2 linked regions of the Arabidopsis thaliana genome follow. The protein of the gene in region 1 interacts with the protein of each later gene in a pairwise test. Each region holds a gene or a part of one and is shown in the gene's direction. Other genes may lie near its edges. The genes, in order: AT3G11280 and AT1G44830.

Region 1 (16,552 bases):
TAATAACGTGTACGTAATATACAAAAATCAGTTGTTTTTTTTTCACTTTTTGCACATATAATAGTTTATGATCTAATTTAAAATAGTCAAATTTTGCGAGCAAATAAACTTAATTGTATACCAAATAATGATAAAAATTCATGTAATTAACCTAACTAAAATATGTATTGTGACTAATTAACCTTCAAAAATCACAATATGATATGATAGGAAGATAAATCATCTTTTTCTTGCAACTAATTGAAAGTGGTCTTACACAATAGAAAAGTTTCCCATACATGCTCTATCCAATATAAAATGGGACCTAGATCTCTAGTAACCTGAGAAAACAAATCACAATAATATGAGAAAACAAATAATAATCACAATCGCTCTTTACTAGAGGTCTGTTTACACTTACTTAGACACTATTTCGATTTCTCAATTAGACAAATAGCTATTCAGAAAATCGTTTTTATTCATGTTCAGGTGATAACAGAACACTCGATCTAGTGTAAATAACTCAACTCTAGATTGCATAAATGTTCATCACATGGATGAGCACTCGATCTAGTTGATTTTTTTTTCAGAATTTGCCTTTCAAAAATCACTTGTTATAACTTATGTGGTCTCCTGGGATGTTTTTGTATGCTTACGTTTGTGAAAATTGTCCCAAGTACATTTGCTATGAAATGATTTTTTTTTTTTTCTAATCAAAACAAATTGCAATGGTTTATGGTGGTTGTTTCATGAGTTTTAAGCCTAGTTCTAGATTTAGCCATGACATTAAATTTTCGAGACAAGTTTGGATGTATATTTTGTATAGATTTGGTTATAATTGTTTAAAGCTGTGTTTAGACACCCCTTGGAATCATAGATTGACAAAACAATTTCGTGATCCAGTAAGAGATTAATTTTAACCAATCATAGATTCAGACTTTTTTTATATTTATTTCCCCCGCTTTTTAATGGTGTTACCAATTAGAGCCTTTAATAAGAACTTACGTTTTTTTGTTGTTGTCGTCTTTACTTATCTATACATATATAGGAAATATTTATGATGACGAAATCCATGTGGGGACATGAACACCACAAAGTGTTTGTGGACTTATGCAAGGAGCAAAAGATGTTGGGAAACAAACCTGTATTGCAGCATATATTGAAACCTTTTCAACAAAAGACGGGCACGATGCTCACGAAAATCCAGCTTAAGAATCATTGGGATAAAATAGTCAGGCAGTGGAAGATATGGTGTAGACTTGTTCAATGCAGTCATATCACATATGAAATGGGATCCTCAGACAAAGACGTTTGGTGCCAGTATTCGAGACTGGGCCAACTATTTACAGGTACAAAGAATGGTTTATGTTTAGTGTTGATTTTGGTGGTTTTTTAAAAGGCTATACGTAATAAAACTTGATTGGATTTGTCACAGGTGAATCCATAGGCTAAGCAGTATCGGTTGAATCCTCCATCGTTTCTCAGGACCTAGAGTTTATCTTTGAAGGTACTTCCGGCAGCAAAAAGAAGCGAAGATGCAATCATCCTGATGAAGATACGCAAAGCGCGTCTAAAGCATATTGGTCATCGTCTTCACATGAGCTGCTTGTTGATTTGTTGTTCCAAGAGTCTTTAAAAGGAAACAGACCTATCAAAACCAGAGGTTACTCACATTATCCAAAGGAAACTTGGAATATGATGGTTGAGTCGTTAAACCAGAAGACAGGACTAGGCTACACACGAGAGCAGCATATGTAATAGTTAATATGTTGGAGAGTACCCTAAAATTGTTTTCACTAGTGTATATAAGATATTAAATTATGAATATCTATTTTTAATTTAGTAGCTTATTCTTGAGATAGAATGGCTAGTTGTTCTAGAATTCTTCTTCTTGTGGCTTCTCTCTCTGCTATATTTGACGAACATTCGTCGCTACAAGTTCAATGTAAGTATTACAGATTTTTGGAGTTTTCTTGAACAACAAGTCAACTTTCTCTACCATTTCACGCATATGGTCAAACGGAAGGCGAAACGCTTTTCTATGGCAGGCTCATATATCGTGGCTTAGAGCAACGGTTTGGGGGTACTATTGTCATTCTTCCGAAACGTTGTGTACCTTACCCGTTTCCTCCGCCTCATACCGAGAAAATCATAGTTTTCGGGGAGATTTTTGAAGCTTTAGTTTAGCTAGTTCTCTCTTTATTAAATTTAAAAGCCCAAATATTGTCTCATAAGAAGCCCAATGAAATGCCAAACTAGTTCACATGTTTAGGGTTTCCTTGTAAGTATGACTCATATAAATTCATTATAGTTAACCTAGAGAGAAATACTTTCTCTGGTTTTGGTTCATGAATCATGATATTATTAGATATCCTTTCCAAATTAATAACCAATATACAGTAACAAATACAAATAAAAATGGGAAAAATGTCGTTTTATACGTGAACTTTCAAAAAGTGGTCATTCAATACGTAAACTTTGCGATCGGCCAAATAAAACATGATAAAAACGTTGACCGCCATTTAACACAAATCAAAATGTTGACCAGGCCAAAATCCCCGAGACGTTAACTGGCATTAATGGATCCGATAACCGCCGTTAGCAGACGTTAATTATTTCTGTTAATAGCGAAAACGACGTCGTTTTATTTAAAATGAAACAACAAAATCCCCAATTCAATTTCGAAATCCCTAATTTTATCGTCATCTTCTTCCCCATGTAGCTATGCTGCTACATCTCACACTAGTGCTTCTTCTTCTCTTAACACTAGTATTCACAAAAAAGGAACCAACTGTTTTTATCTTCTTCACTTGCCAGGCTTCAAAAAACGGTGGTGCCACACGTTGTATACATACTGCACGACTTCCCATTTCTTTACTAACAAAGACGTCTTGTGGAAGTAGCTCATAATATTAATAAACATTGCTTGACGATGATGATGAAAGAATGGTGGAGAAACGTGGACTTACGACACAAAGGGATAGACATTAATGGGTTTAAAATTTATTGGGCGTTTTAGTTAGGTCCATTAAGAACCGCCGAACGTCGTGACATTGTTAGCTAGCTCGCCAAGAGCAAAATCCAGTATGTGAAACTTTCGGAGAAGAAGGGATGTCGAGAGGATCTCGATTCGTTAGGGTTCCTGGACTCTTACTTTGAAGCTTTGAAAGAAGATGGAAGAAGATGACGATAGAATTAGGGATTTCGAAATCGAATTGGGGATTTTGTTGTTTCGTTTTATGTAAAACGACGTCGTTTTCGGTATTAACAGAAATAATTAACGTCTGCTAACGGCGGTTATCGGATCCGTTAATGCCAGTTAACGTCTCGGGGATTTTGGCCTGGTCAACATTTTGATTTGTGTTAAATGGCGGTCAACGTTTTTATCATGTTTTATTTGGCCGACCTCAAAGTTCACGTATTGAATGGCCACTTTTTGAAAGTTCACGTATAAAACGACATTTTTCCCAAATAAAAATCCATGCTTAAACTTACCAAAACAAATCATGGTAATAAAGCTGTAATAAGACTCAAAATTTTGACTATCTTCTTAATTAACACTTAAAATCACACAATATGATTAAATAGAATTGAAGACAAATTCTCTTTTATTGCCACAAATTGAAACCTGTCAACACAATAAATAAAAAAGTTGCCAATAGAGATAACCGGATATAACCGGTATAAAATGAGACGCCTAGTGATCTGAGAAAACAAGGCACCGTCTCGAGCGGCACAAACGCCAAAATCCGATAACAGCGAGAAAAATCGCGATCCGGCTTTTTCAGCCACACTCTTAACAACACAACTCAGAATCGCTCTCGCCGCTGTTTTTCTGGTAAACATTTCACACCTTTGATTTCTCCATTTCATCTAGACAAATTGCGAATCTCAAAATCGTTTTTTTCTTCGTTCTTTCAATGTTAGGGCCAAATAGTACTCGATCTAGTGTACAGAGCTTAACTCTAAATTGCGTTAATTTTCATCACATGAATGATCTAATAGATTTTCAGAATTTGCCTTGCAAAAATCTTTGCTTTATTTTATTTTTTTCTGGGTCTCTCGTCTTTTGTTGTCTCCTGGTTATGAATTTGTTAGAATCTATGCATTTGGAATTGATAAGTCCTGTAATGCTTCCAATCAAAAGCAATTGTGGGATGACAAATGTGTGTTTAGTCCATACATACTTCTCAATTATGTTGTTGTTGTTTACTTATCTATTCGTATAGTGAAGAGTTATGATGCCGAAAGCTGCGTGGGAACCAGAATACCACAGAGTATTTGTGGACTTATGCGTCGAGCAAAAGATGTTAGGGAATCAACCTGGAACGCAGCATATATTGAAACCTTTTCTACAAAGAACTGGCGCTAGGTTCACCAGAAACCAGCTTAAGAATCACTGGGATACAATGATCAAGCAGTGGAAGATTTGGTGTAGACTTGTTCAATGCAGTGATATGCAATGGGATCCTCAGACTAACACTTTTGGTGCTAATGATCAAGACTGGGCCAACTATTTACATGTACAATTTATCTTCTGTGTTGATTTTGGTTGTTTCTTGAGTCTATAATAAAACTCATGATTGGATTTGTGACAGGTGAATCCTGAGGCTGGGCAGTATCGGTTGAATCCTCCATCGTTCCTCGAGAAACTTGAGCTTATCTTTGAAGATAGTAACTTAGATGATGAAGGTACTTCAGGTAGCAAAAGGAAGCGAATAGCCAAGCATCGTGATGAAGATAATGATAATACTGGAGATGAAGAAGACACGCAAAGCGCTTCTAATTTCTCGAGTCCTCAGTCGAAAGGATACTGGTCACCGTCTTCACATGAGCTGTTTGTTGATTTGTTGTTCCAAGAGGCTTTAAAAGGAAACAGACCTGACTCACATTATCCAAAGGAAACTTGGAAAATGATCCTTGAGACTATCAATCAGAATACCGGTAAAAGCTTCACCAGACCGCAACTCAAGAATCATTGGGATTGCACCAGGAAATCGTGGAAGATCTGGTGTCAAGTGATTGGTGCTCCTGTCATGAAATGGGATGCAACTTCTCGAACATTTGGTGCTACTGATGAAGACTGGAAAAACTACTTGAAGGTATAAACGCTACTCGACTTTTTATATTAGTTGATTAAGTTTGCAGCTTAACATTGGTTCTTTGATTAACAGGAGAATCATAGAGCAGCACCATTCAGAAGGAAACAACTTCCTCACGCGGATAAACTAGCAACCATCTTCAAAGGACTTATAGAACCAGGAAAAGCCTATTTCCGTTCTTATCGCAGGAGAGTGCTTGATCATCATTCCGAATCACCACAGCTACATGACCCAACTCCATTATCAACACTTTACACAAACGAGCCAGTCTCAGGTAGTGAAGGTGGAGCTGATGAAGATGACAATGATGACGATGATGAGCAGCCTACTCCGCAGCACCGGAGATTTAACAGTGTTGGTTTTGCAGAGTCTCGGTTACAAGATGTTGAAATTGTAACTCCGGGATGCCACAGGTTAAAAACTGAGCTGATGAAGGAGAGTCCAGTGAGTGCATCGGTTAGGCAGTACGAGTATACCATTGGGGAATGCATTGAGTGTTTGGACTCCATGGAAGAGGTTGAGCAAGGTAGTGATCTTTACTTGTTTGCGTTGGATTTGTTTGTGAAGAAAGAGTACAGAGAGATTTTCTTGCTGTTGAAGAACTCAAGTTTGAGAATGTCTTGGCTGCTTAGACTTCGATCTGGTGGCCTTACCATTGCTGCCTAAGATCGTCATATTCTCCCAAACTTCTTCTGCTTATGTCTTATTATGCTAAACACTCTTGATTTATCTTTTGAACAGTGTGAGATGTTATATTATTAGGTTCCTTGAAAGATTTTATGACAGTCGAAATATTATAAGAGTTACTGGTTAACTTTTGTCGCAAGAAATTACTCTTGTCTCTATTGCAGATGAGAAATAAACTTCAAAGCATTCGTATCCTATCGTCTATGACTCTATGTAGCCTTCTCTTCTTCAAAATTAACTTAAGTTAAAAAACCTTGTACAGTTTGATTAGTTGATACAACCGATATACTTTTATTTGATTTTCTCTGTTTGCAGAAAGTAATTTAAAACTTATGTGAGCATCACAAGTAAAATGGAGAGATAGTGGGATTTAATGAGCTTTAGCTATTGAATCTGTCACACTTTCTAAAAATATTTTCCACCGACGCATAGATACTAAAACCAATCATCACTTAATTCCAGGTAAGAACTTAATCCTAAACAACCTCCTTAAGGAGACAAAATTAAGATATAAAAAGAGATAAATCGCGCCAGGTAGGGGTCGAACCTACGACCTTCTGCTTAGGAAACAGACGCTCTATCCACTGAGCTACAGGCGCTTTTGATTGTAATTATCAAAACATTATATTTATAACAAAACCATACAGTATGTCTCCGTGTGGACCAGAAAAAAGGCGATAGAACAAATTTGTCGTATTCCAAAGAATTAAATAATAGAATCAAATAGATCAATCAACTTTTTTTTTCTTTCTGAGAAAAATGAACCGCAAGAATCCGAGTGGAGTGGTGCCATTCGCTGTTCTCCAATCCAAATACGCCAAATCTTCCCAAAAATAAAGAAACCTTTCCTTTTCTTTCTCTTCACTCTGTTCCCATATCTACAGTGACTCTTCTCTCTCTGTATATTACTCTTCCTTCACTATCTCTCTCTCTTTACTGGGTCTTCTTCAGCTTCTGAGTCTTCTCCTCTCTCTCTATCTCTCAAGTGGGCTTTGCTTTGCTGTTTTTGTCTTCCTTCGACGACTCACTTTTGCAGATTCTCATAAATTCTTCAAAGCTTTGAGTCTTTTTTCAGATTCGAGGGTCGGTTTTATATATGCTTCAAATCTCTTACCCAAATCAGGTTCTTGATTCCCTCAGTATACGATTCTTCATTTTTCCTTCCCTTTTGTTTTTCTTCTTCTTTGATTCCTACTATATTATCATTAAACCTTATATATAAAAGCTTCCATTATTTCCTTATATCACAAATCTATCTTTTAAGCTTCCTCCACACATAGAGCAAGAAAATGGACTTTTTTGAGCTGTGTTTGTAGTTGAAACTTATTCTTCCCTTTTTTTGTTTTTAGGTATGGAGACTCTGCATCCATTCTCTCACCTACCTATCTCTGACCACCGGTTCGTTGTTCAAGAGATGGTGAGCTTACACAGCTCGAGTAGCGGTAGCTGGACTAAAGAAGAGAACAAGATGTTCGAACGAGCTCTTGCGATATACGCTGAAGACTCGCCTGATCGCTGGTTTAAAGTTGCTTCCATGATCCCTGGAAAGACTGTTTTTGATGTTATGAAGCAATATAGTAAGCTTGAAGAAGACGTTTTCGATATTGAAGCAGGACGTGTTCCCATTCCTGGTTATCCTGCAGCTTCTTCTCCCTTGGGGTTTGACACGGACATGTGTCGTAAACGGCCTAGTGGAGCTAGAGGATCTGATCAAGATCGAAAGAAAGGAGTCCCTTGGACAGAGGAAGAACACAGGTTAAGACACTCTTTCATCTCTACAGAATTCTTTCCATATAAGTCACTCTTCCTAGGTTCCTTGCAACGCAAGTCATCCCCTTTTTTCTTAGGGTTTTCAATGCTCTGTTTCTTGTTCCTTGCAGGAGATTCTTGTTAGGCCTTCTCAAGTACGGTAAAGGAGATTGGAGAAACATATCGAGAAACTTCGTGGTGTCAAAGACGCCAACGCAAGTGGCGAGCCACGCCCAAAAGTATTACCAGAGACAGCTCTCCGGAGCCAAGGACAAACGCAGGCCAAGTATCCATGACATCACAACCGGCAATCTTCTCAATGCCAATCTCAACCGTTCCTTTTCCGATCATAGAGATATTCTCCCTGATTTAGGGTTTATCGATAAGGATGATACGGAGGAGGGAGTAATATTTATGGGTCAGAATCTCTCTTCAGAAAATCTGTTTTCTCCATCACCAACTTCATTCGAAGCTGCCATTAACTTCGCCGGAGAAAATGTCTTCAGTGCCGGAGCTTAAGGCAACATAGAATCCCCAAACTCAGCGTTCTTAAGAATCTGAGTTTTGAAACTGTAATTAGAGAAATATAAGCAAAACCAAGTTTATTATATATGTATTGTGTGGTTTAAAAGTAAGAACTTGTTTTTACTCTGTATTTTTGTGTTTCTGTCTACTAAATACCTGTTATGTTAAAAAAAATCTGTGTTTTCTTTTCGATTAAATTATAGACTTATAGTTGTGAAAAAGAGTACTTGTGCTTTATGACAAGTTGATAACCCTAACAATTTACCACAATATATCTATTTTATGGTGTTAAATGCAAATTATAAAGATATACTGTAATAAAGACTTAAAGAGATTAAAAAAAAAAAAAAGACTCAAAGAGATCAAACACCACACAAAAATGAGAAATTTGTGAAACATGTTTTGGGTTAGATTTATTTAAGAAGATGGCTATAGTATAGTTTTAAATATTGAGTAAAGTTTTGGTGGAAGGTATGAAGAATTGATTTGAGTATAAAATAGAGGCTGAGTCTGCTTTCCACTTCTGACCAAAGAACCTCATTCTTCTCATCTATTACACCAACCTCCTGACTCATATATATATTAACGTATTTAGAATTACGTATAATGGTGTCATTTGTATAAAAAACATATATGAATGAAATGTTTATTTTATTTTTTAATCATTTGGTGCCCCAATCTAAACACTGCTCACATTTGAATTATGCAACTTGAAATAACTTTGATAAATTTATATTGAAACAACTTTGAAATATTATTTATCACAGTTCATATGCAAAGTTGGACCAAAGGCTACACTTAATCAAGCAATAGTTTTATCATAGTTCATATTCAAAGAAATCGGATTTAATAGATTTCCATATCTTATTCTATATGTATTAGATGAATCTTGATCATCAATTGTGACATATGCTACTGCAATTTGCGAGTCCTATTTCGGATAAAGAAAACAAAGTAGTTTTTCCTTTCTTGCAACTTTATGGCTTTATTTCTTTTGCCACCCTTTTGTTATTTTGTCACTTTCGATCTGGTCGCTTCGATGGGATCTACATGCCTTACACTGATGTACCAATATCAAAAAACATTCAATGTTCTTACGTCATACGTGCATTACTATATACTATACAGTATACACTATTTTATGACTAAGATTTGCGATGCTGATAACTTTGAGAACAACAGGATGCAAAATTTAAAGTGAAATTACGTACAATTGTTACATCTTTTCCATAGCAAAGTTATAAGGACATATTCTAGAAAATTGTTGAATAACAATTATAAAATGATAATTGTGATAATTCTTTGTAAAACTGATGTATTTAAATATGTCAAATAATTCATCATCAAAAGTTGCATGTATTATTACGATACCGACATATACCGTGAGTACAAACATCATAAAGAAGATTGAACAATAAAATAAGAAGGAGAAACGTCGAGAAGCTTTGCGACTTAAGGCTAAATCCTTCCTAATCATGAACATATTTTATGTAAACGACAAAACTTAATTTATAATCTTTGTTCATTTTGTTATCAAGAAGAAAGAAAATGTTCTTCGAAAGTAGGCTTAAAAGCATAATGCGTAACAAAGCACGTTCATGATTTCATAATTTCAAAATTTCCGCTTATCATCATATCCTTTTCACGAAGCTTACGCCACTAGTGTGACCTTTATTTGCCTTCAACACCTCTTTATTTTTTTTGGCGGCCCTTCAATATATCTTTTATTTTTCTAGTTTTCAATTTTCATGACAAAATCTTCTTCCTTTATTCCTCTATCAATGTGAACACACGTTCACACACTTTGTTTTGATAACATTTTTATAACCCCGGACTAGATCTCTACACATCCGATGTATACGAATCTAATTTAGTGATTTTCTAAATTTTAAACTATGGTAAGTGTTATCTTCTATGACTTGATTGCCTTGAAGATCAGAATTAGGGAAACTAGAAATAAAAATCGATGAAAAAAGAATCTTTGGAGACAGAAACGACATACTAATAACAACCATTGTAGAAACAACAGTAATAGAAGATCATCGGAACGAGACCAAACCCGTTTTGTTCCCCTACAGACCCTCTTCACATGCAGCAAATGACAGAGTAACATCCGATTAAATATCTTCCCAAAGCTCGAAATTTGGCTGCATTTAACTCTCAGTGATTAAGGGTATGTCAACAGGCTTTGAGTCCTCTGCTTTTTCATGTTCCTTATTCAACAACTGAAACATAGCATCCACAGATTAACAAAACAAATTTTGCATAGAGCAAATTCAAATCAATCACCTACTAGAGAGAAATAGAGAGATGATGGTCTATCTTACCTTGTTGTTGATCAAACTGTGGAGGGCGATTACACTTCGGATAAGCGAAGAAAGGTAGATTACGAGCATCATGTCATTTGTTTTTACTGTACAAAATGAATAAAGTTAGGAAAAAAAAAAGAGTTCAAATGAGAGAAACCCTGTGCGAACATAAAACTTCAAGGAAGAAAAAGCAAACCTGCAAAGGCTTTAACCAACTCGTTGACGTTCAAGTTAGGAAGCAAGTTGAATACGTCCTACAGATTTGCAAAAGAGTATTCAATTTAGCTGAATAATCCTTACTAGCAGTCACGGATACTGAGAAAAAAACAAACACGAAAACCAGTTTGATTCTACTAGTCAACTACAATTAAAAGTGTTACCTGAAGATGGTATAAGATTTCATGGTTTAATGGGAGTTTTCCTTCGATTACAAGGTCAAGGTAAGTCCGGATCTCCCGAAGTCGTGCATCCAATCCCTTCAGAGCAGTAAGTTTCGCAGTGACCTGAAATACAGTTCACAAATAATTTCAGTTTCCTCAATATATGTTCCTCACATTTTGTTTTGAGAGCAACAATCATGATTTGAATAAACATTAAGAAGCTTGATGATGAAATGTTTAAGTTATGTGTGAAGAAAATAACCTCAGTTGCCAAGGTACTGATGGTTGTGTCTTTTACATCCCTGAGCAAATGTTCCACACCTGTTCAAGACCAACCAACTGGCGTAAGCGAAGCAAGAAGGACTCCATTGAGTTTCCTCGGAAGCATTTACAAAAAAAAAAATTCCCTCATCATTCTTATGCTCTGAAATAAGGAAATCAAACTATCAAAGGATTTGTTTCCCCATGTAGACATACCAATTTCCTCAACTTCATGAGCTGCAATTTCTGTAGGCACGTGTACAAAAACCTGTTGGCTTTTCTGGGTAGCATTCTGCAGAGAGAGAAGTTCGGATCAAGGCAATTAGATATATGGATATAACTAATGCAGAAAGTAAATCAAGTATGTCAGATGCAACTTAACAGTCGAGCAAGTAAAATGGTTAGAAAATTGGCTGGTATTTACCTCTTTCACCTCCTCAACCGCATAGTATGCTTTTGTGGGGATTCCAAGTTCTTTAGGTTGGACATCAATAATGACCAACACTGGATTTGGAACGTAGCTGCAACACCAGAAACTAAGATTAAAACCGAAGTAATACAGAAATAAGGTCTAGCAAGAGAGGAGAGATAGATTGTGAATGCTTTAAAACGTTTGTACATATATAACTTAAACAGACCACCAAACCATATATTAGATTAGACCATCATATCTCATATTTTAGACTGATTTTGGTCTTACCCATTGAATAAAGCGTGAACATCCAAATCATTCTCTCGAAGTTTAGGACCTGTGCTGTACCAACCCACAATATGCTCCTTAGCTGAAAGCAAATATGAAAATCAGTCAAAAAAGAGGCTTTCCACATATATACTCTTAAGCATTATATTTCCCGAGCAATACCATTAATTCTCTTGAACATGTGAAACATCGACTCGTGGTAGTTGTGATCAAGAAACCATATGCTTGTGTCTTTGTCATCCTCCTCAAAAGGCACTGTAAAACCACAAACAAAAAGTCAAACAAGTGATGTGCAAGTAACAACAACGCACTTATGAACATGCTCACAGTGTAATGTACTGTGCAAAATCAAATGAAATCTGTTTCATTCTCTAAGAAATTAACTCAACCACCATATTATACTCATCACTCCAATATGGAATTAGGCCACTAGGACCAAGTTTGACTGAATCCAAGTATCACACAACGATTTTAAAAGTAAGACAATTTTGCAACCCAAAAGCTAAAAAAAACTAAACTTAAGTAAATTTTCAGACAAGAACACTAAACATATTGAATTATGAGATTAGCAAGAGCTTAACAAACTTTCAGAGATCTGTGAGATCGAAGAGAACAAAGAGAAAGGAAAAAGTAAAATCAAGGCACCTGCGTAGCTGTTGGTGACGTCAACAGTACCACGAGAGCTACTTCCGAGCAAAACGCCGACGACGCGCTTGCTCGTGTCCTTGGCTACACGATTGTAATGGTCGACGATACTAAGCAAGACAAGTGGGTGAACGATCACTTTCTCGATTGTCCTTGCCGATATTTGTTGCGTCTTTATAACATCCATTGTTGGGTTAATCAAATTCGCTTGAGTAATTCTAAATTTCTTTCTCCGGGAATGATCAAAACCTCAACTTTTGATTCCGTTTTATCTCCGACGGAACTTGAGTTTGCTTCTTCTCCAGGAAAACCCCTTTAATTAATCTTCTCTAGGCACTATGGGTTTAACCAAAGTTTGGGCCTTCTCTGTATTATAAAGCCCAATTATATGGGCCTAAAAGACAATGGGTCTGGGTAAAATAATATTAAGGATATTAATCTGTTCGTTTAAAAGAGTTGGTTTTATTCTGATAAGATTGTGCAAGTTTTTTGGTCTAATGGTTGTTGATCAAGACTTAAGTATTTCGAGATGATGTAAATTTTGTAAATTGATAGAGATAAGTTTTAAGTTTGTTTTTTTAACATCTTTTAAGTTTTAAGTTTATCTGATATTTCTAGTATTTCTGTGATGCAAATAGAACTATTCGTTAATGATGTCTTTCTTAAATTATTTTTAAAAAATATAGAAAAATACATTAACAAATCACAACCTTAGTTATATGATGATATACATATACGCATTCCATAACATAGATTCTTATATCAAACAAAATGAGACAACTTTTTGATAAACCATGCATTGGAAAATATCTCATAAACCATGCATCGGATAATATGTCATAATTCAAAATACAACAACATTTTAAAGGCTAAAGCATCTGTTTTTTTTCTTTTGTTATTGTGGTCAATGACTTAAAGAAAGCTTAATCGAAGATCTAATGGCGGTGGATGTTCCATTTCAGCTCCACATGATGAGTATGGAGAAAACGACGTCGTGGTGGTCTCTCGAATATATTCACGGTACTGGTTATTGCCTCTAGCTCTCATTTTGTCCACCTTGGAGTTGGAGTCTTCAAATGAATTCACCGGAAAGAGTTGTAATGTCTCTATCACCTTCTCTTCCTCTTGACAATCTTCTTCGCTTATTTCAAAAACATCTATAATAACACACTATTATCCATTAAATATATAGAAATATCATATAAAACAATAATGATATATAATTATATATATATATATATATATATATATATATAAAGAGACTACCTCTAGTTGATGGTTGATGATGATGATGATCAAAATCAATGGAGATTTTACGACGTTTCTGCCTCTCCCTAGCCTTATGATTCTGAAACCAATAGAAAACATTCTTGCTCTCTATCTTGCCGTAGAAACTGAGCTCCGTAGAGATCTTCTGAATCTGATCAGTTGTTGGAGTTCTAAGACCGGCTCGAAACAGATCAGTCAATATCTTCAACTGCTCCACCGTTGGATTCCATCTCCCGCACTTCGTCCCCGTTCCTCCGTTATTGTTGCCACGTAAGCTTCGACCTTTCACGGAGAAAGACATGTTCAGATGTAAAGTCCTCAACTGTTTTACGTTTTAGGGCCTGTGTATATATCCATATATATAGTAAGATTGTTCATAATAATTTATTAAGTTTTCATCTTTTCGAAAATAAAAAGAGAAATGAATTGATGAAATGTCGGGAGGAGAGGTTTTCGAGTTATGTGTCGTTTTATGATGAGTTGTTTATTACGAAATGCATGCTTTGTTTTTTTTGGGGATTTGGGAGAGACTGATCTTTGCAGATTTGATCGTTTTCTTTATCCTAACCTATCTAGGCTTCTGTTCCATCTATATTTACATATGTTTTTGTGTGTATATATTAGTATATAATTGGATCTCGCATTCATGCCATGGCATGCATAAGTTGTATATCGGAACCAGCGATTGAAACATTGAATTTGTTCTCCTTTAATTTGTGGTGACTCGCACACACTTAAATTGCGTTCTACGTAATTTCTTACTATTCATATAACATGATAAGAATAATCAGAAAGCCTTGGTGGTAATGTACTATCTAGTGTCAATATTTTAACGTTCGATATTGTAACTTCAATGCTTCAACTATTCCAAATTATGACACTAGAAATTTTACATTCACTTTCTTTTTTTTGTATTTGTTTTGAAGTTAGAAGTTCTTTACAAATTGTAGATCTAATCTGTAATCAATAATAAGTTGAAATAGCTAGCAAGTCCTAAACAAAGATTGTATGCAATTACATTATTGAGACGGATGGATGGCCGATATTAGTTTGATATGAATGAAGATGATAAGATTAATTATAAACATCATGACATTGTGTGAACAGATTGTAGTTTTGTCTCTCTTGCACAGAAGATGTGACACTTGAGGAACGTTGGTCGGCAAGTGTAGACAGGAAATTTGAAATTTTATTCTCTTTTATAAGAAAATATAATATTACAAAATCAAATATCTGAATTCTGAATCATAAAAAACTACAAAAAGAAAAGGCATTTAATAGATAGAACCAGAAGGTTCGCCACACACATGTATAATATAAGTCCTACACCAAAATATTTGTAAAAAGCCATTTATTAAGTCACCAAGAACTCCTTCTAGAATGAAGAATGGTTGAAAGATGACTGCAAGATGTAAAAATAATTTTAACCATCAATAAAAGTATAAACTCATAGTGTTTTACTAGCCTCTATATGCTATCACGTCAATTAGATCTGATTTTTGAAATCTGAAAATGAGACAGCAGCAATAGTAACATAAATCATGCATTATACTGTAAATGCTTTGGTCAAAAATTTATTTCTTAGTTAAAATCTAACTGCATTCTAGTATATAACCTGCGACCGAAAAAATATTTCACTTTTAAGCGTACAACTCATACATGCCTCAGTTTTAACAATATACAATCCAGCTCTTATAATTTTGCATAGTCTAGTTGTTTGTACAAGAAACTTATTGATGTCTATATGAACAGTACGTATGACACCAGCAGAAATAGAAAGGAAAAACTTATAATATTCATGTAGTGTGCGTTAAAATGTCTTAATAGTGAGGATTTAGATGAGACATGCACGGGATGCTAAGCAAGACGAAAATGGTCCAAATAATAAAATGACAATGTGAATAAAACCAAACATTGTTTTTATAAACAAAGTACTCTTCACTAGACAACATAACAGTACTTACAAATATCTTTGTCTCTCTCGCATATAAACTGCATCTTGTTTTTAAAATTGATCAATTCGGTGTCAAAGTCAAAGTTCACGTGGCTTATGTTACTTGGAATCATCCCAGTTAATTTACATAACATCTTTGTTTAATTACAAATTTCTTACAGAATATCTCATTACCTACTCTCGAGTCTAACTAAATAAGTAGATTTTTGGATTTAATTCGGTTTAGAGAAACTTTATGACTTAGATTTGTTAGATATATAGAAAAAAGTGGCATGCACCCAGCACCCAATTAGTCATCAATTACTGGTACTGGATGATAAAACAGTTGTGAGTTGTACATTAAAAAGTTAAAGATAGCATGTCGTGGATTTGAGATATCAAAACTCTCGTATTGGATGCCCCCAAACATATCATATACTTTGTTTTTTTGCAATATTCTTTTTTGTTGTTGTGATATATGCTTTTATACAACATTCACTACTTTGCATAGTTTTTTGGGTTGTTTTTTTCTTTCTTTTTACACAAGTCCGGGTTCCAAGTTTTGGGAACCTCAAAAAGCAACCTTGGTTTCTAATTTTAAGTTTATGATGACTATTAGTATTAAAAAAAATTAGCGAGAGAGCAATCAATCAACCCGTTTGTGTTAATGCAATGGAAACCTATGGAAGGTTTTTTTTCTTTCTATAAACACCTATGGACGTTGTCTAGCCTTAATGGACAACACTCTTGATTTAAGTAACTGCTGAGACAACTTTTCGAACAAAAAGTTGAGCTAGTATATTTATAAGAAAGAACAACTATCAAAAACATAACGACACATTAGTTTGAGAAAGTATAGTTCTTAAGTTCATATATGATTACTTTAATATGTATTTGTAGTTAAATTTAAAATTACACAGATGCAAAGTTGCAAACCTAAGGGAGAAAAGAAACTTTGAGTTTGGCGTCTTTAATGATTATAGCGTTTCGCGCTTCATCAATAATAGTGTTTT
Region 2 (15,664 bases), on another chromosome or scaffold:
TAACACTTCAGGCAATCTACCTAGCTAAAAAATTGGCTTTTGGTGAAGAGAGGTTGAAAATTACTTCCGCCAATTTTTTTTTTCCGGCCAAATAAATTCCCGCCAAAACTTGTATTTAAAATTTTTTGTAATTTTTGAAAAAACTCTTAAAAGTCCTTGTATAGTTTTTTCAAAGCATTTTAAAAGCTTTGTAAAGTTGTTAAAAACACTTGTAAATCATTTTAAAATCTATTAAAATCATTATAAAGTCTTTCAATACACATGTAAATACTTTCAAACCCCTTTTAAATCTTTCAAAAAATCCTTGTAAATATTTTTTAAAAGGGAAAAAACCTAAAAAAAACTCAACTAATTTTTATTTGAATATTTAATATCTAATTATTTTTGATTAAAAAAATACACGAAATAATAAAACTGTGCAATTTAATACCCAAATAATTAAATGCTTTTTTTTTGTTTTTTAATTAAAAATAACAATATTTAATTTTTTAAATTTTAAATTACATAATTTTATTATTTCGTGTATTTTTCTTTTAACCAAAATAATTGGATATTAAAAATTCAAATAAAAATTAGTTTTTTCCGTTAGACTGTAATTAAAAAAATATTCATTCCTCAAACATGTTACTTCATGTTTTAATTCATTTTAAATACATTTATATTACAAATTAAAACTTTCAGAAAAAAATTTGAACTTTGGTGTCACAGAAAAAAAAACCTTTCAACTTCCTTCCATGGCGATATCTCCTCTTCTCTGGACTCTTATCATCTTCTCCATAATCTTCTCACTCCAATCCTCCTCCTCCGAAGAAGACACACCAATCACACGATTCCAACAATACTTAAGATTCAACACAGCTCATCCAAACCCTAACTACACCGCACCAATCTCCTTCCTCATTAACCAAGCTCAATCAATCGGTCTCACTACCAAAACAATCGAATTCATCTCTGGCAAACCAATTCTTCTCATCACATGGCTAGGCTCAAACCCTAACCTCCCATCAATTCTCTTCAACTCTCATCTCGATTCAGTCCCCGCCGAATCAGAGAAATGGACATATCCACCGTTCTCAGCTCACAAAACCATCGACGGCCACATCTACGCTCGAGGAGCGCAAGACGACAAGTGTATCGGAGTTCAATATCTAGAATCAATCAGAAACTTGAAATCGAGAGGCTTCTCACCTCTCCGTACGATTCATATCTCTTACGTTCCTGAAGAAGAGATCGGTGGATTCGACGGGATGATGAAATTCGCGGCGTCATCGGAGTTTAAGGATTTGAATTTGGGATTTGCTATGGATGAAGGACAAGCTAATCCTGGCGATGAATTTAGGGTTTTTTACGCTGATCGAGTTCCATGGCATTTTGTTATTAAAGCTGAGGGGATTCCAGGTCATGGCGCTAAGCTTTATGATAATTCAGCTATGGAGAATTTGATGAAGAGTGTTGAGTTGATTTCTAGGTTTAGAGAGTCACAGTTTGATTTTGTTAAAGCTGGTAAAGCTGCGTATTCGGAGGTTATCTCTGTGAATCCAGTTTATCTTAAAGCTGGAACTCCTACTACTACTGTGAGTTTGATGAGTTTTTGTTTTGGTGTGGAGTTGTTGTTCAAGAGAATAAGAGTGTTTGTTTTTTCTTTTGCAGGGGTTTGTGATGAATATGCAGCCTTCAGAAGCAGAAGCTGGGTATGATTTAAGGTTGCCTCCAATGGCAGATCCTGATGTTATGAAGAAAAGAATTGCTGAAGAATGGGCTCCTTCTATTAGGAACATGACCTACTCGGTAAGTAGATGTCGTTGTTTCTGTGTGTATTGCTATCTGAAATGTTAATATCAGCTAAAGTCCATACTCTATAGTCTATAGCGTTATACAGAACTGTTTTTGTAGTTTTGTTTTGTGAAGAAGCATGGCTAAATAGAGTGAAAGAGCGCATTGACCATATACTTAGATCAGAGATCGTATCAAAGTTCTTAACTTTTGCTTTCGTCATTAGTAAAATGTATGTTTGAGATTCCTTTCAGCTACTTTTATTAAGTCTCAATAGTTCCACATTAGATTCCGTTTCTGTTTTGATTATAATGTTCATTATAGTTCTTGTTATTCTACTGCCATTAATCTGTCTATTAGGGTTATAGAGAAGCTGTTCGAGCCTGGTTTTGTGAAATATGACCTTAGATAGTTGGATGAATGAAGAAGCATGGTTTGATAGACTGAAAATCCCTTGATATAACACCATTGCTAGTGATCACCTGTTGCAAGAGTTTTCGTTTTAGTCACATCCAGATGTTTTTTTTTCTTGCAACAGATACAAGAGAAAGGAAAGTTAAGAGATCATTTAGGGCGACCTATAATGACTCCAGTAAATGATTCTAATCCTTGGTGGTCTATCTTCAAGCAAGCTGTTGAAGCAATGGGAGGAAAACTCGCAAAGCCTGAAATTTTGGCTTCAACTACAGATTCACGCTTTATTCGCACTTTGGGAATTCCAACTTTTGGGTTCTCTCCAATGACCAATACGCCTATTTTATTGCATGACCATAACGAGGTATTCACATGATGATATTATCTATTGCCATCTTTGAGTCTATATATTTAATCACAGTACTGATATAAACACTTAATTGTGGCCTCAGTTCCTAAAGGATACTGTATTCATGAAAGGAATAGAAGTATATGAATCGGTTATCAGCGCTCTAAGTTCCTTTGAGGGAGAATCTGCTCAAGTGATTTGAAGCATGTATATATGCAAACAATTGTGACACACTGCTTATGGTCAAGGCTCACATTGCTATGACCAAGAAAAGTAGTAGCTGTTTCATCTGTAAGTTATTTTTATCAACACTTACTCTTGCTTTAACACCCTTAAGTGGTTGGTAATAATCCTTTGTATATATATCAGACATTTGATTTGCCTGCATAATTCTCTAACTCTGAAGAGAAAATGTCATTGGTGCTTGGAGCATGATTTCACAAAGTGTTGATCTTTTTAGCTCTCAATGTTCTAATTTTCAGGAGTTGTTGTAACATATCACTTGCATAGCATCAGAGATTATTTCATATCACTTGATTTAGTTATTGACTTTACGGCTCTGAAAATAAACAAACCATTCGTGTGGGTCTTCTCTCCCCGAGTCTCGACCCTTCCGGTCTTTGTTTTCGCAGTTGTGCAACTTATGGTTCCGGTTTAGTTTCAACTTTCTTTCAGCTATTTTGCTTTGAAGATGGTTTTAAGACAACTTGAGCTTCATTTTTCCTGGCATGCGTTGTGGTTTATTCAGATCTACTTCATCTTCTATTTACTTGTGTTGGACTAAAAATTATTGGTGATTCTGTTCATGATGGTATCTTGAGCTGGAGATAAATTCTTCCTTTGGCGGCAATTTTGTTGTGGACCTTTCTCTCGTCGTGGACTTTAGTTTCTTCTTGTAAGCCCAAATGTTAGAAGAGTTTGTGCTGTTTTTCTCGGGAAAACGGGGAAAAAGTGTATTTCTACCATTTGTGAAAAGAGAATCTCTAAAATCACATAGTACTTGATCATCTAGTTTGAAACTTAATGTCTCAAAGTCAAATAAACCTTAATGTGTCATATGAACTACCATTATAGATCTATGTTCTCTATTAGTATGTGAGTCTCATTCTCGTTCGATAGTCGGCATGCTATCCTAGGAGATTAAAAAAAAAACTTATTTACCGATCCTATAAATTATCATGAGATCTTTTTATGTGTTTTATCCTCTGTTTCATTGTACTGGAAATCAGTTTCCAATAGATCACCAATAATTCAAGCATGATAAACTCTAGAGTTTAGTCGGTAAGTGTTACGAAAACGATAAGTACACCAGGCTTGGCCCAAATAGGTAGAGAAAGAGGCAGCGGTCTAGAGGCCTAGTCACATTTTTTCCTAAAAAATCTTATGTTTCAAAGCCCATTTTAATAAAAATATTTAGACTATAGCCCAGTCTTTTAATATTTAGATCCGCTTTTAAAAAATATTAGCAAAGGTCCAACATTTTTTTGTGTATAAATTTGCTCAAAAATATGAAAATTTTAGTTTAAATATATAGTAAGACCATCTTCAATGGTTAAGGTTCTTAACCTTGCATCTTAACAATTATTAAAATTAAAATTTTGGAACATGACACATAATTGTATTTATCACTCATAAAAAACTTTAAGCTAAGAAGTGAATTTTAGTTTTTAATCTGTTTTGAATTATTTTTCAGAATTTAATTCTAAGATATTAGCCTAAGATACACCTAAGATATACCATTGGAGGTGCTCTAAGGATCCAAAAAAGAAAGATTACCCTAAAACTCTAATTATTGTTGAGTCGAGGCTACTTAGTGACATAGGTAAACAAATCAATTTCCTTAAGCGCTTTTCATGTACAACTACAGTATAACCTCTATAAATTAATACTCGATAAATTAATAATCTCTATAAATTAATAAATTCTTCCGGTTCCGAGTTGGGACCAGTGTAAAAAGTAACACAAATCGATAAATTAATAAGATAATAATTTTTTTTAAAGTCTTATGTAAATATATGGTCCCATCAATATTATAAATTAATAATTGCATAAATATATCAATTATATATATACATTATATGTAAGAAATTTCTTTGAAACATATTTCTAATATTGTTTTGCTTAAATTTGTATTTATTCTTATTTGAAATTTAATTCTAATATGTTACTGTATCAAAAACTTTTACTGTTGTTTTCTATACATGATATTATTTTTAACTTGTAATTGATTCTACAAAGATATTTTCTAGAAAAAAGAATCTTATAGAAATGTTTTAAAAGTTACTAAATTAGGAAAGTCTCTCTATAAAATTTATTAATTTATCGATAAATTAAAACCTCTCTAAATTAATAAAATTTTACAATCCCAACATTATTAATTTATAGAGGTTTTACTGTATATTTCTAAAAATCAAGGTATATATTACCATCACCCTTACCAATCAAGCACAATGTCCTTGTTGCGTATCAGGGCCGTCATTTTCGATGGTGGGAGGTCACATGACTCCACACTCATCTAGGTTCAACTTTGATACCATTTATAGCGCCTCGAGTACCATTATCTAGGCCTTCATATCCACTCTCAACCTAAGGACCCTAACATCAAGTGATAGCTAGTGCACACCTATCATTTCTATAACTCATGGACCCCAAAAGCAATATTTTTTGTACCTCGTCCTAAAAAATATTTAGAGCTAAATTAAGCGTGTTTGAACTAAAATCATTGTTTTCAATGCATTGAAAAAAGGATTCAAAGATGAACGCACGACGAGATATCCCAACAAATTACAGATGTGGAAATGGGCTATTTAAACATTAGGACAAAGCTTTTGCCAAGATCGGACATCATTTGAAGACGTCAATGATGTCCATATGTTGTTCTAAGATAGGCTTCTTGACCATATGTTGATTCACAAACGCACTCAAATAGATTTAGACGATTGACTCTATATCTAACTAGGCAATATTAATCTCCTGCAGTGAACTTTGATGTAGCTCCTACAATTTGGAGCCAAGGTGGGAAAAACGAACCAGGCTTGAATCAATTTTACAGTATCAAAGAAAAAATATGTAAATTTTGGAGTATTGTCTCCTACTGAATTCACTCAACAACCACAACTAAAATCTTGAAATCTCTATTGTCATAAATCTTTTCTGCTTCTAGGAAATTTCTCAATCTAATGAAATCAAAAACAAAGGATTTGATTCTGTTCTGTCACAATCCACACATGTGCATTTGCCTCTACACCATCCAACACACTCTTCAATCCTAATGAGAAACTTCTCCGTACGTTCCTCTTAAGTTTCCACCACACGAATTTATTTCCACTCTGGCTTAACTCGTTACCATTAAATGTTTCTTTCTAATTTATTTCTTGTAACCACAAAACTTTGTTAAATATTTCTTGTAAGAAAAATATTGATTGATTGATAAGAAAGGTACGGAAGGTCATATATTGAGTACGGTGCCAGGTAAGATTGTCCAAACTACGAATAGGATATTTTTAGTGCAAAAGTACATGCATTATGCATGAATCTTCATTTATGATTCTATTTGTCTATTTCCTCAGGTAGGGTTCGCTCACTATTCTTCGTTAGGTAGCTAGCTTAATTGCTTTAGCTTCTCGGATTTTACCCGATCCGATCACTCAAGCTTTATGACACAATGTAACTCATCTTCTTCTTGTTCTTACACAGTTACACGTATAGCTTCAGACTGTCGAGCTCTAGACACTAAAACAATCAACAAAGAATGTGATTGGGTGAATATGGTGACATTGTGGTGAAAAGAAAATATTTATTGGTAAATAAAAATAAATGTAAAATAGTGAATTAGTTAAATGGTATGAAATGGAGATATCTTTCGGTGAATGAGAATGTTATAGTTGTTTTTAGAAAATAGCAAAGTCATATTGGTAAAATATTGAGAGAAAATGTAAAATGTTTTTTTTCCGTAAATGACTTTGAAAAGTATAATTTATTTGATAAGCTTGGATATACAAATATTTTAACCCGCTAAATAATATAGATATATCCAAAAACATAGATAACATGATTATATGACAAAAACATAAATATGTTTTATAAATTAGATGTCTACATAACGAAAATAATGTAGTAGAGGAAATGTGTTCTACAAGTTGTAGATATAAGAGCCAAAACATATAAAAACTTCATTTTGATAAATTAGATGTGCACATAGAATACTAATGTTAAAGAATTCGTCACGTAAGATTTAGTTATAACTATTATTTTTCTTAAAAGAAAGTAAAATAGTCAAAATTTGAATCATTCTCTTTAGATGGAATTAATTTGATTATTTATTCAAATACCACGTTTGTAATTACAGTCATTGAGTGCAAATATTAATATAAAAATGGTAGAACATTGTTGGTTTTGTTTTATCATAAACTTTTGTAAAATGTTGCCTGCATTTTCCAACGAACAATTCTGTTGATTCGTTTCTTGATATGAATAAAAAACCTTCATTATTGTTATATTATAGTACCCCAAAAGAGAAAAAAGAAATAGAGTCGTCTGGCTAGAACGTGAACACGAATAGATTAGTTTAGTAGTACTCTTACGCGTCTTAATTTAATTCTAGTGCCGACTAAATATAACCGCAGATTAGTTTAGTTAATAAACAGTGCAAGACTATTATGAGGTTTGACGATTTTACTTTAGTTTATTTAGTTAGTAGTACAATATTATTTAATATTACAATGCAGTTTGACAAAAGAATCTGAATTTAATTAATTTAGTAAAAGCCTTTTTACAGAGAGAATTTTACGTGTGACAAGGAGACACAAAGAGCTAGTTAACGCGGTTTTAAAAGTCCCATTAAGACAGAAGAGCACCAGCTCTTGTGCATTACCTTGGTAAACATGACTTCAGCTACTTTAACGTTTAAGATTCTGAATTATGTTTAGGCCTTTTAACCAAAAAAAAAAACTTGTAATTTTTGTATTATATATATATATATATATATATCTATAATCATGCATGTGATTTCATTTTGCATCTCATTTATCAAAATAATTCGATAGTTAAATTATTCTTATGATTAACTTTGTCTTTTGTTTGTACCTTAAAAAATCACATGCTCTTAGCTCCTAGAAGTTGCCTCTAAAAATAGAATCCAATGTTTCCTCTTATAATGTTTTATAACTTTCTGTCGTATCTTGATATTAATATTCTCATATGAGTACTGATTTTTGTTATTTACATTTTTATTCAAGATTCTGAGGCTCAAGAAGTAGTAACTTTTAGTTGTAAACAATAGTGTACTTTTGTGGAACTAAAGAATTAGCTTGGAGCCTTGGAGGTCAAATCAATAAATATGCATTTTTGAAAATAAAAAATAGGGATTCTCTTATTAGTGATCTGTGATTGGGTGTAGCATATGGGATTGTGATTAAGGAAAATCTTTTTTATAAATAAATTAAAAACACCTGTCTCTTACATTATTTAAAAGAAAAGTATTAATCTCTTTGTGTGTGCCCCATGCTACTTTCTTTGACTATGTTCATAGTATTTTTTTTTCTTTTGAGTTCTTTATGTTTCTCTTTCCATTTTTGTTCTCTATAAATAGAAACACACCATTCTTCTCCTCCAACTTCCTCCCTTAATTAGTATCAAAAATGGTGAAAACACTTCAAAAGACACCAAAGAGAATGTCATCTCCATCATCATCATCTTCATCATCCTCATCAACATCATCATCATCCATAAGGATGAAGAAGTACAAGGGAGTGAGAATGAGAAGTTGGGGTTCATGGGTTTCAGAGATCAGAGCTCCTAATCAAAAGACAAGGATCTGGCTTGGTTCTTACTCAACTGCTGAAGCCGCGGCTAGAGCCTACGACGCAGCACTCCTATGTCTTAAAGGATCCTCAGCTAATAATCTCAACTTCCCAGAGATCTCAACTTCTCTCTACCATATTATCAACAATGGTGATAACAACAATGACATGTCCCCTAAGTCTATACAAAGAGTAGCAGCTGCAGCTGCTGCTGCCAACACAGATCCTTCCTCATCATCAGTCTCTACTTCATCTCCATTGCTTTCCTCTCCATCTGAAGATCTCTATGATGTTGTCTCCATGTCACAGTATGACCAACAAGTCTCCTTGTCTGAATCATCATCATGGTACAACTGCTTTGATGGTGATGATCAGTTCATGTTCATTAATGGAGTCTCCGCGCCGTATTTGACAACATCACTTTCTGATGATTTCTTTGAGGAAGGAGATATCAGATTATGGAACTTCTGCTGATTCTACTTTCATTATACCTTATTCTTTGTTTCAATATATATACTTGAGTTATGTAACTTATACAATGTGTTATACATTTTTTTCTTCCCTTTTCTATCAATTCTCACAATGTATGGAACATTTGGGGATCTTTGTACCAATATCTAAATTATTTTTGAAATTAGATATTTTTCATGTTAAGAGTTCACTAAATCTAGTAGTAGTGGTTAAGTATGGAAATAGATTTATAGCTTTTGAACAAAGAACTTCGAATGATAACAAGTTAAAAGGTAAAAACGAAAAAGTACAGAATCATATTGTTGTTGATTAAATTCTGAAACCTAAAAGTTAAGAGTTAGTGTTGAAAACAATCATTTCAGATTTTATAGTATGAATGCAAAATTTGGCGTTACTGACTTTAACACTAACACTGTTTGATGTAAATGTGTACATGATACAAAATAAGTGGTGGTAAGATGACTATGCGATATAAGTACTGTATATATGATTTTTCTTTATTAAGGATATAAAAGTATTAGCTAATGAGTTAAACAGAAAGCAGATTTTTCATGTGAAAAGTTTTGCAAAGTCAAAGAGTAAGAAGCAAGTTTCATGAGGCTTGTCATAGAAGGCGATGATTAATCCTACTTAATTATTGTTGAATAGAGTAAGTGTATAAATATTATTTATTTAGAAGAAAGATAAGGAAAAAGAGAGAAGAGACAAGAGATGCAGAATGGTTTTGTGTGGTGACTGGTTAGAATTGGTAAAACCAAAGAGAAAGAGTTAACGTACGTGGAAAACTGTGTACGTTTGTGCTTAGATATCGTAAAAAAATTGACATCCATTTTACTCCAACATTGGTCTGAAGAAAAATCTAACAGTAGATTTGAGCAGAAAGCCACATGAGTTGTTTTGGTTTCTTGTTATGTGTGTGTTCTTTGTGAGATGGGGTCCCATGATTCACTCTCTTACCCTTGCTCCTCAGAAACTCCATCTCTATTTTTTTAGGTATGATTTGTTTTTCTTTAGATAAGTTCCCCCCCCCCCCCCTCAAATATACATTAATACCATTGGTGATACAAAACCATACAAGTTTGTTATAGGTAAAAGAAGGTATAAGCAATATCGGAATAGTTAAAGGCGGTGAAAATTAACTTTGAAAATAAAGACTAAGAATGATGCTTTTGGTAAAACTTTTGTGATTGGTAATTACTTTTAAGACTCCGATTGGTGATAAACAAAAGAAACGATAGGAATATGAATGAAAAATAACAAAAAGAAACAAGAAAAAAAGAAAAATGGTCATAAGTAGGAACCAAGAGGAACATAGGAATTGAACAAAATGATTATGGTAAATGGTAACCAGAAAGGTGAATTAATATTTAACATAATAATTACTAAAAAATTATTTATTGAATTTTGTTTATTAATTTCTTTTAAAATTAAAGTTTTGTATAAATTTAAAATAAATTATATTATAAATTTCTCTTCAAAACATTTATTTATTTTATAGTAAAAAATTCACTTTAAAACATTTATTTATACTAATTTAAAATAAATTCATAACATTCATTAAATTGAAAGTTTGATAAAAAACAATTTATATATCAATATATACTAAATATATGGAAAATTTTATATATATAATTATAAATATTATCATAAAAGCTATTTTAAATTTATTTAATAAATAAAAACGAATTTTATTTTTTTTGTTTCTCTTGGTTCCTCTACAATTTTGGAGTGGAACAATTTTGTTCTACCATTCTTTTTTTTTAGGAATGATAAGAAAAAATGTAGGACCCATATGTCTGAAAATGAAACAAATATACCTTGCAAATGATAAAAAAAAAACTGAGGAACAAAGATGAACACGACTTTCGTACTCATTTTTTTCCTCAAAAATGGTTAATAATCGGAGCCTAAGACATTTATTTTTGTAATCCACTTGTAGGGCCATTTATGGGAAAATCTTACAACTAAACATGTTTGATACAAAATAATCAAAGGATTGTCTATTATTCTGCTGAATTTGTTGTTTTCAATACACATGTGAGTCATGCAAAATCAAGTGGTAAAGAGTAACTGTCAGTCAAACCAAACCTTCGAGATCTCCATATGAACGTTTGTATTGCCAGAATAAAACGTTTTTAAGGTATTTTGTTTAATTATAAACGTGATTATGTTGACAAAAAAACGATGACAAAGTCACTCTACCAATTCAATTTTTTTTTTTGTCTCACGTTAAATAAGATATTAAAATGAAAGATGACAGTTTTCTGTGTTTGATTATTGAACGTTCAAAAACAGTGAAATGAGTAGGATCAAAATGATAATGAACAATGTTGATTGCTGAATAATGTGTTCGAGTATCTTTATTTTTCCTTTTTTTAGGGAGGTTTTGGGGAAAACCTGTAATTCTCTAGACCCAAAAACAAAATATATAATATTAGTTTTGTCCCTATCGTCATTCGAACCGGTGACCTTAAGTTTTGTCTAGCATCTTTACTAATTGAGCTAATGAGACTTGGTTAATTATCTTTCTAATTTTATTTTTATTTTTGTTTTTTGCAAAATCTTTGACCCATTAACAAAAGAAATTGATAGATACTAGTATACTCAACTAATGCCATAAAAAAAAAATCATTGCAATTTGTATATATACAAACAAGTTGTAAATTGACCATGCCTATATGTTTTCTTTGCCGTCATTTGATTGTCTTCGAGCAGATAAATATCACTGAAAAAAACTTACTAAAAATACTGTAATTAGAAATTTGGGTCTGAGTTTCTGACATGGGCTTGTGGTTATAGTTGGTCCCATGAAAAGTGCCTTACATTCATTTTTCTTTCACCTTTCACATGACATATTCTCCGGATCGAGACGAGTTTTTTCTTTTCAGGGGATATCTTAATGATCTCCCAAAACACATAACATGGCATTATTTTTCTCAATGATTTATGTTTAAAAGTTTTAGAGAACATTCATAGAACAATATTTATAATTTTGATTCGGAAAAGGAAAACCAAACACTTTTTGGTGTTATGTAGCTAAATACAAAAGACAAAGAAACTTGGTGTTGCTAAATCACTAGGCAGTATTTGAAATAGATCCAACATTGGTCGTGAAATCATGATCTCAATTATATGTTTATGTTGTCTCATTATAACGAATATTAAATCGTGTAATGTTAATTGATTTGTCATTTGTCAATTATACTAAGATTGCGATTTCACGATGGCTAGACAATCCATTATACGCCTATTTTAGTTATTGTAAGTATTTTATGGTTCCAATATGCGAACCGGGGGTTGTTAATTGTTTAACATACTCGGACTAATGAACTCTATAAATTCTTTTTTCCTATACTAATTACTTTAGCGGTTTAGCCTAGTAAATACATACACGAACTTTTCAAAATGACCATAAGCTAAATGCTACTAGTCTATCTCATTATCGACTTAGCAGGAGAAAGCAATCTTAATTTTCCTCTCTTCCTGTTTGTTTCTCATAATTAGGGTTTCGTTTTGCGGACACTTTACCTCTAAAATGGCTTATAGCATCTCCAACCCTACTCTATTTTAGAGTCAAAATGCAAAATTCTTCTCCAACCCTACTCTATAATTGACTCAAAAATAGAGATTTCTACAGATTGACTCTATATATAGAACAACTCTATCCTCAACTCTATTTTTGAGTTCAATTTTTTTATTTATACTTTAGTCCCTCAAATTTAAACTTTTTTTATTTAATGCATATAATCATTTTACAAACAACAATTACAACACATAGTTTTATAAACTTAACAAACAAACAAATACTAATTTTAATAGTTTTATAAACTTAACAAGAAGCAAACAAGTACTAAATTTAAAATAAACAACATAAAAAACTAAAACAAATATTCTAATGGTGTTAACCGTGTTATTTATAATAAATATTCTAATGGTGTTAATTAAAATAAAATTTGTAATGTTTTATTATTTTTATATGATGTAATGATTTTTAATAAATAATAAGTGTTTAATTTAAATAATTTCATATTTTATACGAATTTTGCAAATCTATAATATATGGGGTCAAATTTTAAATTATATAATTAAAAAGTATTAGTATATAAAATAGAAATAGAATATTTCTAAGAATATTCTTTTTTAGAGTAGAAAATAGAGATATACATTGGAGAAAAACTCATCTCTAAAATTGAGTTACTCTATTTTAGAACAAGATATAGAGCTATACATTGGAGATGGTCTTAATACATAGTCAAAATTGATTACTTATTTGATGAAAAAATATGGATTTCTTATTTTATTTTCTCATACCAGTGATTGTTTTGTTGTATTGGGGCTGAAAAGTGTTCTTTCAGCACATCAGAGAAAAAAGTTAAGAATAGTGTGTTAAGCAGTAACCATACTCTTTAAAGCCGTAGATTAATTATTCAAGAAATTAAAACAACTAATTAAACAAAAATCCTAGCAAAATCTATTTGAATGAACCATATCCAAATCCACAAAGTCAGTCCCCCAAATGTTGAAACACGTAAATTAAACACACAACAACAAAAATATAATTAATTAAACATAACTAATGATTTTTATAATTTACACAAAAATCAATCAATATTTTTTTAACTATTTTATATTCATTTCTAACTACTTTTATATTTATATGTTATTAGAAAATATTAATATATATATATTTTTTATCAACCACACATATATTAAAATATAACTCTATGATCGGCTGCCCAATTTAGAGGAGAAGAGTTTACAAAAATAACATCAGACAACAATAAACGAGAAAAACAGGTTAAACAATATGCTTTAGAATTACATAAACGGTAAAAATAAGAAATCGAACCAAGCGTCGTTAGCTCAATTGGTAAAGACCCTAGACGAACCTTAGAGGTCGCCGATTCGAGTGACGTTTGGGACGAAACTAATATTACATGCTGTGGTTTCGGGTCTGAGAGATTACGGGATTCGGTCCAGAACCTCCTAATATTTATAAAAAAAAAAATTTTTAAAATAAGAAATTAAAGCTCGGAACATTCAAACTCGTCTAATAGGTTGGAGAAAGCTGGTCAATCATCAGGCGAATACGCCACCGAGACTAAACTCTACACAATCAGTTTCAAATATCTACAATCAATCCTTCTTGTAAAGATATTTTTCGTAGCCCAAATTTATGATGACTTTTTTTTATTTGTGGTGCACCATTTATGACAACTTAAAACAGTTTAATTTTAAATTAAAAATTTGTATTTTCTTATGACCTGTGGTTATATGTTGGGCCTTTTAGGCATTTGCAAGTTAAGTATGGTCGTGGATTGAAAAGCCCAATGTGTAATCCTCTAGTTTACTAAGAAGGTTTAATGTTTTTCAATCCAGTACTGCAAAATCTGCAAAACCTAAACTTTCGTCTTCTCAACAAAATCTGCAGTTCCTTGCTCCTTTCTCAGTCCAAATTCTCTGATTTTTGATTTTTTCGATTCAATGGGTTTCACCAAAGATCAGTTGCTTGATCGACTTCAGGTTTCCATTTTCACCTTTAAACTCAATTACATCATTTTCATTTCGCATTGCTTTTGTTGGAATTTGTCAGATAAGATTAGATAAATCATTAGCAGAGAACGGAAAATGTTACTTCGTTTTATGCTTGATTCTATTTGAAGAAGTTATGTGTATTAATGGATTTGGATGTGTATCTATGGATTCCAAGTTATGTGTATAGTCGTCTTGAACTCAGAAGTTTTTCAATGTCTACTTTTAGATTCTAACCCTTAGGTCAAGAATTTTGGTGTTACACGTTTTGTTAGTGTCAATGTTAAAAAAATGTGGCAATGTGAATTGATGATTAAGGATTTGTATCTATCTTTCAGGAACTTGAGATTGATTATTCCAAGTATGAACATCCGCCTGTACTAACCGTCGAAGAACAGGTGAATATACCTTAAAATGTTTTAGATTTTTAAAACTTAAGTGTATGATGTTTAAAGATGGATTTATAAGGCTTTGTTTTGTGTATTTAAATCTTCAGGCCAAGTATGTTAGCAGTAGTAAGGGTGCACTGAGTAAGAATCTCTTCTTGAAGGTAGTCTTTCAAAGCGGTACACCATTAAAGGCATTATCAAGTTAGAGTATTAGTTGATTGTTAATGGTGCATATGCCTCTATTTTGTTTTTGCAGGACAAGAAACATCGGTATTATATTGTTTCAGCGATGGTGGATACGAAAGTTGACATGAAAGGTAACATATGTTTTCTCCTTTTTTCGTTTGTGGATATTGGCATAGAAGAAGTCTCTGGGCTTTGTGAAGTTTGAATGTTTTTTTTTTTGGATGTTAATGTGTGTTCCCTGTGACTTCTAATTTAAACAGTTTTATCTCAGAGACTTGGTCTTGGAAAAGGAGGGATTAGAATGGCTCCAGAAGAAGCACTTGGTGAGCTTTTGCAGGTATTTTTCATAGTCTTTTCCTCTGCTACTGTGTTTTGTTATATATATCTGGAAAGAGTTTTATTAAATGATTGTGCTGTAACATGGGAACCATGGTAGCGATAGTTTTTTTGACAATTGATAAGAAAAGTTTCTCCAAACCAAATTGCTTTAAATGATCTATTTATGCATGGTGATATGTTTGTTTTGCTTATCGCAGTTTACAACAAATCCACACGAATATATTGAACTTATTGTCATTCATGTTTACAATTTTTGACACTCGTGCTACTCTCTTTTTTCGTTAAAGGTATCCCTCGGATGTGTTACCCCGTTTGCAGTTGTAAATGAATCAGCAAGGTATTGTTTGCCTTACGGTATTGGTTCATATGGTGTTTTCCCTTCCAAGTTCCTAATTATTTCCATTGACTGA

What was found.
Region 2: the proteins of AT3G11280 (region 1) and AT1G44830 interact in a two-hybrid assay, tested with the Arabidopsis thaliana proteins (one large-scale study listed by BioGRID).

Annotation. Positions count from the first base shown.
Region 1 is NC_003074.8:3,524,961-3,541,512, reverse strand, and holds AT3G11280 (Duplicated homeodomain-like superfamily protein), read left to right. Parts: upstream 1-6,518; 5' UTR 6,519-6,891; exon of another isoform or gene 6,892-7,117; 5' UTR 7,118-7,119; coding exon 7,120-7,523; intron 7,524-7,648; coding exon 7,649-8,036; 3' UTR 8,037-8,302; downstream 8,303-16,552. Other genes in the region: AT3G11300 (uncharacterized protein), read left to right, coding at 1,040-1,123, 1,212-1,328, 1,465-1,642, 1,838-1,924, 2,006-2,166; AT3G11290 (Myb/SANT-like DNA-binding domain protein), read left to right, coding at 4,218-4,502, 4,578-5,081, 5,154-5,747; MEE34 (Mov34/MPN/PAD-1 family protein), read right to left, coding at 10,196-10,267, 10,370-10,455, 10,548-10,605, 10,732-10,854, 10,994-11,052, 11,209-11,284, 11,417-11,513, 11,693-11,774 and 2 more; WOX5 (WUSCHEL related homeobox 5), read right to left, coding at 13,250-13,494, 13,604-13,907.
Region 2 is NC_003070.9:16,925,617-16,941,280, forward strand, and holds AT1G44830 (Integrase-type DNA-binding superfamily protein), read left to right. Parts: upstream 1-8,082; 5' UTR 8,083-8,175; coding exon 8,176-8,811; 3' UTR 8,812-8,952; downstream 8,953-15,664. Other genes in the region: AT1G44820 (Peptidase M20/M25/M40 family protein), read left to right, coding at 735-1,574, 1,651-1,788, 2,312-2,551, 2,640-2,738; AT1G44835 (YbaK/aminoacyl-tRNA synthetase-associated domain-containing protein), read left to right, coding at 14,293-14,331, 14,679-14,738, 14,837-14,890, 14,986-15,046, 15,176-15,252, 15,542-15,591.